Ovis aries: one gene and its partner. The protein of the gene in region 2 purifies or fractionates together with the protein of the main gene of each other region. This does not show direct contact. Links are inferred from orthologs where the notes say so. Each region holds a gene or a part of one and is shown on either strand. Other genes may lie near its edges. The genes, in order: RIC8A and GNAI3.

The links.
Region 1: the proteins of GNAI3 (region 2) and RIC8A purify together in Homo sapiens (affinity purification with mass spectrometry; 3 studies listed by BioGRID and IntAct, counting the BioPlex papers as one, with this or other methods). This does not show direct contact. The link is inferred for Ovis aries from reciprocal best matches to the Homo sapiens genes GNAI3 and RIC8A.

Annotation. Positions count from the first base shown.
Region 1 is NC_056074.1:47,474,988-47,479,400, forward strand, and holds the start of RIC8A (synembryn-A), read right to left. Parts: upstream 3,093-4,413; 5' UTR 3,026-3,092; coding exon 2,942-3,025; intron 2,649-2,941; coding exon 2,601-2,648; intron 2,516-2,600; coding exon 1,925-2,515; intron 1,444-1,924; coding exon 1,352-1,443; intron 882-1,351; coding exon 731-881; intron 1-730.
Region 2 is NC_056054.1:86,784,179-86,788,445, forward strand, and holds the start of GNAI3 (guanine nucleotide-binding protein G(i) subunit alpha-3), read left to right. Parts: upstream 1-1,279; 5' UTR 1,280-1,386; coding exon 1,387-1,504; intron 1,505-4,267. UniProt on the Homo sapiens protein: Heterotrimeric guanine nucleotide-binding proteins (G proteins) function as transducers downstream of G protein-coupled receptors (GPCRs) in numerous signaling cascades.

The DNA of each region.
Region 1 (4,413 bases), on a different chromosome or scaffold from region 2:
AGCTTCAAAAAGAACAGGCACAGACCCTAACTCAGAAGGCCATTTGTACGTTTGGGCAACCCCACGTACTTTCCCCACCTTTAAATGAGGGGTGGAAAACAGCATGTTTAAAGTCGTTAACCACCAGCACACAAGACCATTCCCAAAGCACTGAATCTTAGGCCTGCCGTGCTCCAGCCCGCACGACGCCGGCAAACCCCCAGAGAAGCTGGTCAGAGTGCCGGCCAGTCAGCATCCCAGGGTGCAGCTGCAGGGAGCGGGGGGCTGCGGGCTCTCAAGGGCCTGTGGGTCCTCCGAGCGAAACCATGGCACAGCTGACGCCCATCTCGAGGGCTGCTCGTGCACAAGGACATTCTGAGTCCAGGGGCACAGAGAGGGATGGGGAGCGTGGTGGCACTTCAAGGGGGTAGGGGTGGGAGGCTTCTCAGGACTCCTCAAGAGGATTCACAAAGATGTCTAAGAAATGAGTCCTTTGCCAGATTCTGAAAGCACTTTGCCCCTCATCCCTCTCTGTGCCCCTGGACTCAGACTGTCCCTGTGCACGAGCAGCCCTCGAGATGAAGCCCACAGACTTCTCAGGGAGGAAGATCCGGCTTGACCATGACGTGGGAGGAACCGCCCGAATCACACTGGGGAGGTGATCTCCCCTCACCAGTGTGGACAGCAAAAACACAGTGACCACAGTAGCTGCAAAAACCTGGGCCAAAGCCACAGCAGTCCCCCTGCCCACCTGATGAAGACGCTTCTCCATGAAGCTGAGGAGGACACGAATCACATCCATGTTCACCCCTAGGAACTCCAAGGAACCTCCGTGTGGCTCCAGGGCGAGGAGAACATCCAGACACTCGACAGGCAAGTTCCCCAGGAGGTTCACTGCGTGGCTGGGGGCAGATGGAAGGGGCACTTGGTGAATACCGACCCCTGCTGCCAGCTGCTGGGGCCGTAAATGCCGTGAACCAGTGTCTGGGGGCCCAAGCAGCAGAACAAGGTACCAGAGGCAAGAGTGCTACTTCCTGTAAATGCCCAACCCACCACGTATCTAGGTTGAGGCACCACAGCTAAAACTGAGAACCGGCCTAGGCATAGGCCACCAAGAAGGAAAGTGAGGAAGCACACCACCCTATCGATACCACAGCGCCCGCTGCCCCTACCCAAGGCCCCCTGGCACCGTCCTGCCTTGGACTCACACCTCCGATCCTAGACCATAAGTGCTGGAGCGCCCCAGAAACACACTTTTGTCTGGTTCCACCCAGAAGGATGAAGACTCTAAGGCTGGGAACCACCACAGCGACCTGTGAGCAAACCACCCCCATTCCTCCCCACCCCCCCGCATGACAGGCACCCCCCTCACCCGTGGAACTCCTCTGTGCGGTCTCCAGCAGCAGCAACCATCACACAGTGCCGCAGAAGGGTCCCCAAGTGCCGGTATAGAGCAGTGTCTTCCTGACCAGACAGACAGGAGTTCCTGTGAGAGCGCGCCCCACTGGCCCCACTGCTGCCAACTGAGAGTCTACCTTCTGGACACCCCTGCAAGACCTCATGCATTAACAACTATGCTTCTCTACTGCACACCCTGGTGCTTGTCCTCTCCCAGGAGACCTCAAGAGAACTCTCGGTTAAGAAAATCAATGGATCCCCTTGGCACACAGCTGCTCTGTGCTTCAGCCCCACTCAGTCTCACCACGAAGAATCTCACAGCCTCCCCTGCACACCACACAGCCCTCCAGCCAGGCTGCAAGAGCCAGTTATGCTCTCCAACTCCCTCAGAAAACTTCCTTGAGACCGGTCCAAGATAGGTGTTCCCTGCTTCTCTCGACTGGCTAAGCACACCTAATCCAGAAATTTGAAGGAACCCAGCAAAGCAGCATGTGCAGGAAATGTCCAAGCTGTTAAACCCCACCCACAGGTTGAGGTCCGCCCTCACCTCATCCACCTCCCTCTTGATGGAGTCGAAGGTGATGTTGAAAAGCACTTTGAGGATCTCCATGGCTCGCTCAGTCTCCTGGGGAGGCAGGAGCTCAGGGTGCCTCTCGCCCTCAGTCATTCCCAACGTCAGCTCCAGCGCCCTGGTCAGCAGGCGCACTCCCTGCAGCTCCTGAAACAGCTGCTGGCGCACGTCGGTGCGGAGTGCAGTTAGCAAGAACAGAAGACGCAAGTCAAAGAACTGGACGTCGTGCGGGAAGCTACTCCGGCTGTGCAGTCCGACGCGCTCTGCGAGCCTCACCACTAGCCCCGCCTCTGCTGCCAGGACCTGTGCCCCGGGGCTGCTTAGCACGAGGTTGCACAGGCACTTAAGGGACTCGAGTACGACATCCACGTTCAGCGGCTCAGGGACCGACCCTTGGGAGGCGGAGATGCCAGCATAGCAGGCAAGAGCCTGCAGGCTCCGGCGACTGGTGAAGGAGTCCAGGCAGCTGCGGTCCCTGGACAAGATGCGGATGCTCTGCAGCCAGATAACGCGGCGGGAGGGTGGCAGGCCCTGCTCCAGGACCGAGACAAGCAGCTTCGCCAGTCTCTGCGGGCAGGGAGAAGAGCCGTTCCACCAGGCCCTTCTACCTGGGCCACCCAATCACGCCCCTCCACCTCCGGTGAGCACCCACCTTCCTATCCTCCTGTTGCGCATCATCAAACGTGAAACTCTGGGAGTTCTGCAAAGAAACCCAGAGGCTAGAAGGCACAGGCCTACCGCGTCAGAACCCGGGTTCCGCGGATGGGGGCCTGAGGCCGAAGGCACCTCTATGAACAAATGGCGCCCCAGCCCCACACACCGGCACCCTCGCAACTCCTCAGAGAGTCGGTGCTCCTCCCCATCGCTCTCCCTTCCACCCTCAGCCCCTTGCCACGCTCACCGCTCTCGCCGCCCCTCCAGCCGGCCACGCGCGCGGGCCCCACCCGGCCCCACCTCCTCTCTGCACGTCCCAAGTCTACAACTCCCGCTCACCTCCCGGTTGTACGCGCGCAAAGCTTCCATAACCACGTCCTCCTCCCCCGTCTCCAAGGCATCCGCAACTGCACGGGGCTCCATGGCACCTCCAGGACCCGATGCCAGGAAGGCCGGAGGCTCCCGGCTTCGCGATTCCGGGCAAGCGTCTGCCCGCCCCGCCCAGGCTCGGCGCGCGGGGGAGGCCGGGACGGGGCGTGCGCGGCGCCGTGGGGCGGGGCCTGGGTTGCGCGCAGGGGAGGCCGGGACCGGGCGGGCGCCGAGCTCTCTGGGTTGCGTGGAGCCTTAAAGGGGCGGGGCCTGGGCTGCGCGCGTGGGAGGCCGGGACGGGGCGTGCGCGGCGCCGTGGGGCGGGGCCTGGGTTGCGCGCAGGGGAGGCCGGGACCCGGCGGGCGCAGAGCTCTCTGGTCTGTGTGGCGCCTTAAAGGGGCGAGGCCTGGAACAGCTGGATAGAACTTGAAGACTTTGCTGCCGAGTCAGCTTTGGCCTTAAACTCCGGCTCGGTGATCGTCCGACTTATGGGCCAGAATCGCCCTGAACCGAGCAGTGAGCCTCACTCCTTGGGCTAGGATTCCTGACAGGAGAGGGCCTCAGCCCCGCACCCCTCCATCACACGCACACCAACACCGCTCTTGATGCACAGAACGAATGAAACGTCCAGGGAAAAGTCGAGGTGGAAAGGAGTTTACAACCTCCGGACCACTTGGTTTCTAAACAGATGTTTGAGTGCCTACTGCACGCGAGGAGCCGGGATGCGGGTGAATAGAACCCACAGGTTCCTGCCTTCTTGGCGCTTATGTGCCGGATGTGAAGACTAAAACGGGCAAACAAGACGACGTTAGGCAGCTATAGTGCTGTGATTGAATAACAAAAGGGGCTTGATGGGCTGCAAGGAGATCTGAAGAAGTGCCAGTCAGTTTTTGCTGAGACCGGAGCCTAGGGAGTGAGCCAGGAAAGGCTCCGAAGGAAGGTTCTGCAAGGCAGGAGTGGCCAGTGCGAGGGTGGGAATGGCCGTGGAGGGAGAGAGAAACATCACTGTTGGAGCTGAGAGAAAAGAGAGACGGGGTCGGGGTGGGGGGAAGGTCAGGAGGAAGACAAAGTCTGACTGTGTGCGGTGACTTCCCTGCTGTGTAAGCAGGCACACCTGCTCGTCTGCTTGGGCTGTTTCCTTTTTTGAAAAGCAGAGACGATACAAGTTTCCATTTCAGTGGATTGTCGAGTACATGGCACAGCAATTGCTCCATTACGGGGGGTGGGTAACTTATAACCCATCCACCGGGCAAGAAGGCTTTGTTAAGCATCTACTTTGTCAGGCCCCTTGTCAGCACCGCGTGCAAGGTCAAAAAGCGCTGGCTCCTCCCGTACCCACTCCCCTCACGCTCCCACCCCTCTTCCTGGTTCCTTGTTTTCTTCAGAGGGCTTCACTCCTGCGACTTCTGCACCGCTCGCTCGTTCCAGGCACTGATCTCGTT
Region 2 (4,267 bases):
GATATTCTAACAGTCACTAGGAAGAGTAGGAGGCTTGGAACTTTGAAGAACTGGCATTGACAAATTAAGGTGCATGAAGCTATTTAATGTGGTTTTCAAGAAATCCCTCTAATGATCATCAGTCACCGTATATATCTTTCTGTTGGGATCTTATATTCTAAGGTCTAGGTTCGATTGGGGAAATAATATTTAATCATAGGGAAAGGTCTTGGAGGCTGCAAGAGTTCCCCTCTCTAGAATGTACGGTGAATGTTTTTGTGGGGCTCTTTGGAAGTAACGGTAACGTAGGGCTACTTTCACCACAGAATCCAGGATTATGAGTAAAAAGGGTATCAGTGTGGGGCTTTCATAGGGGATTTATCAACTTCCAGGTGATACTATAGCTGAGAAACAAATTTTACTATGACTTCTCTTTTCGTGTGTTACCACAACAGGAAATTTTAATAGAGATTCACAGGATGCACTGGTTTGTTTTAGGGTGTGGAACTTTGGTTGACTAATCTTGGTAGAAGTCCTAAGTCCTTAACGCACGACAATATGTCAGGGCTAAATCTGGCTTGTGTGGGGGAAAGGCAGCATGGAAATTTCATGGAAAAACCACATTCTTACCTTATGTAAGATCTGTTACCGATTTCAAGAGATCCTTTACCGACATAGTAGCTGGGCAACTCAAGCCCACTAGGTACCAGTAGGTGAGCCAGAGAGGGCAGAAAGGGACTGCAAAGTCCCAGGCATGGTGGGTCTTAACTTATTCCAGATGTGGAGCGTGACTGCGTCGAGGCCCCGACTGTAATTCGCATCCCATAGCTCTGGCTGGGACGACGCCAACAGACAAACTATCCTACACTTGGTCTCAGATCTCCACAGCCAGAATTAAACTGGTTTTCTGGCCAGTGGAAAAATTCCCAGCAGAAATTCCCGTGCGGATTGCGGGCTTTTACTTGGGAATTTCCATTCCCCACGCCAATCGGCCGTGCGACCTCGGGAGGGTGCCTTGAACCGGAGAAACCAGTCCCTGGTATCTCTATATTCATCCAAATAAGACAGCCAAAAAGGTGAAAGGGGATTAAAGTCGAGCGGCGCCCGGTAAGCTCGACAGGGCCGCCCCACACCTCGGAACCGACGCTCGGCGTCCTGGTCTCTCTCTCTCCCCGTACTTCCGCTTTTGGTTACGCCTCCTTTACCCCAGCTAAGGAGGTCGAAGAAGTAACGGCCGCGGGCGTTGCCGGAAGTGTCGTAAAACGCCGGATATCCGGTTTCTCTGGGCGCCCTGGGAGCTGACGGAGAGGGCCGCCGCCCAGCAGTAGACTGTGTCTCCGCCTGCCAAGCCGCAGTCTCCGCGGTTTTTGAGTGAGCCCCGGCCCGGTCCCTTCTTTCGCCGCCGCCATGGGGTGCACGTTGAGCGCCGAAGATAAGGCGGCGGTGGAGCGAAGCAAGATGATCGACCGCAACTTGCGGGAGGACGGGGAGAAAGCGGCCAAAGAAGTGAAGCTGTTGCTACTCGGTGAGGGGCTGGGAGCGGGGCTGGCGGGGTGGTTTAGAGGGCCCAGGCACTTGAGAGTCCTAATGGGGGGTCGGGCCGGGCGGGAGGAGAGGACCCCGAAGAATCTGGAGGGCGTGACGGACGTGGGGCGGGGTGTGGGGTTGTGGCTGGTGCCGGAGGGCATGATGAGGGGGTGGGGTTTTGGGGTTGTAGGAATTAGGCTGGAAAGAGGGTGTGCCACCATGCTGGGATTGTGTTTAGCGAAGGAGCTTCTAAATGTGGTCCAGTAGGACATTGAGACTGTATTAGGAATATGGGAAAAGCTCATAAAGGAAGAGCTGATGTTAGAGAAGGTTTTTCAAGGGAAGGGTTAGAGTGAGTTGGTGTTGAGAACGGGAGAGTGTGTTGGGCTTGTATAATGGATTGTGAGTTTGGAGCGTGGTGATACTTTATGACATTAGAGCTGGGGGGCGGGCCTTGAATAATTAATATAAATAGAGAGGGGGTCTTGAACAGAGTGGTCACGTAGGACCCTGTCATTTAAAGAGTGGACATTTTGAGCTCTCGCTGAGGTGGAGGAACCCTGGGTCATCCAGGAACATAAAGGTGTATGGTTGAAATAACTGAAAAGTTCTCAGGTGTAAAGGGAAAGAGTTTGAGTGTAGAGGCTGTGTGTATTTATCCACTATTTCCTATTATTTTTATTTTCTTAAGGTTTTTTTAATAACTCCTTCCACTGTTTTTATAAGAGCTGGTGTGAGCTGAGGATATTTAAAGACTGTCTTGTTTGAGGTTTGTGGCATAGGATGTGATGATGACAATAGATTACACAGTGAGAGTTGATGAATATTTGCTAGGGATGGTGTGCAGTGGGAATGCAGTTATTTTAGGATAAATTATGGAATTGGACTTACTGTAAAAGATGTGATTGTGACAGACTTCTGTTGAGCTGGGGTTTTTTGTTTGTTTCTTCAAACGAAAAATACTGGCTTCAGGAGTTACTGTTTATTTTACTTGACATTCGTTTTAAGTAGTTTTTATGTACAGTCAGATGCATTTTACTCAGCCTGGTTGGTTTTAGAATTTTTGAGAAATTGTTTTCTAGAAGCTCAATGAATCATATAAAATACCCTGATGTCAGCTTACCAATAAATCAGGCCACATTTTTTCTTCACTGTTAGTATTTTCTGGGGATCTGTTAGGGAAGAATAAATGGAAGTAATGGTTTCTGTAAGCGGTAGAACTTTGCTCTTTAAAACAGTTGATTTTGGGGAAAAAGAAGTTGCTTTAGGAGAAGTGCCAAATTTTTATGGTGTGAAGCTCCAGAGGACAGAACGCACCACCGTAACCCAGGGTTTATTCTGCATTCAGGGTGCTCGTGCTAGTCTTTTCATGGTAACGTGTTTGACAGTTTGTAGATTGCAGAAGCCTTGGTAACAGCTTTTTGAATAAAGGGAGGAAGTTATGCACTGGAGTTTGAGCCTTCAGTTTGAATACTTAATCTTACAGAATGTATGAAAAAAAAAAAATTGAAGTTCCAAACTGCTACTCTTCCATATAACGGGTATCATTTGTGAATGAGCATGGTCCCTGGTACGTAGTAGATGCTTAAATATAAACTGTTAACCAGCGTGTGTCAGCTACTGTTGGACATAGCTCCTTGGGACCTTTCAGGTGTTTGATATAAACTGTAGTACTCAAGGCATTAGCATTGTTCCTATCAATCAGTTGGTTATGAAAGTAAAGGTGTGTTTTTATCTTCTGTGGTTATTTTGGTTTACATTCATAATCAGAGATCCCCTCAGGATATTAGGCTGTTGTAATACAGGACTTTATAAATAGTGCATTTAATTAAAAACAAAATTAAACACATGATCACTTAGGAAATTTCAAAAGCAGTAGGTAAAAATCAAAGTACTACAACATTTGCTTTTCCTTTTTAATCAATTTCATTGTTTTAAGTAAGTTTTTTTAAATATTCTTGAGCAAGTTAAATGAACAGATTCAAGCAGGTTGCAGAGAGAGATGTATTTGCTTGAGTCATGACATAACCCATATATGAAATTAAAGTTATCTTCTTTGCTATTTCTATAAACAAAATGCACTCATCACAGTAAACAAATTGTTTTGCTGTTGAATACCTCCTTTGATATACATGCAAGTCATTTTTACTTTCTCTCTGTAAAACTATCAAACTTGGTCTAAGTTGCAGGCATTGTTATTATTTTAACAAAATGAATGTTACCAATTATAGTTACTATAGAAATTCAGGAGGAATGCAGTATTATAATTGTTTTGTTACTTTTTGTTTAAATTTCTTTTAGATGTATTATTGAGAAGCTCTTGATATACTAGTGTCTAATCATAATATTCTGTAAAGAAACAAAATTATGTTATATGGGGCTTCCTAAGCAGATGGTAGTGCATAGGAAGGCTTGCAGTGTGCTGTTTGCAAATGTTTTATGGTTTTGAAATTTTAAATCATTTTTATGATTTTAAATCATTTTGTAACTAACTTTTCAAATTTCACAGCAGTTAGAATGACATTTGAACATTTTTGGTGTGATTCCACCAGTACACTTTCTGAGTTTGACAATTGAAAATATTTGATTTGGAAGATTTATACCAATTAGTGTTTAATATCATCTATAACATTTTATACTTTATTTTTCATGTCATAATTTTATAATATAAAAAAAAAATGTATGTTATTTTCATCAGGTCCCTCCAGTTTATTTGGCAGTCTATACAAGTATTACAATTTTACGCGTGCAGCATGATGTG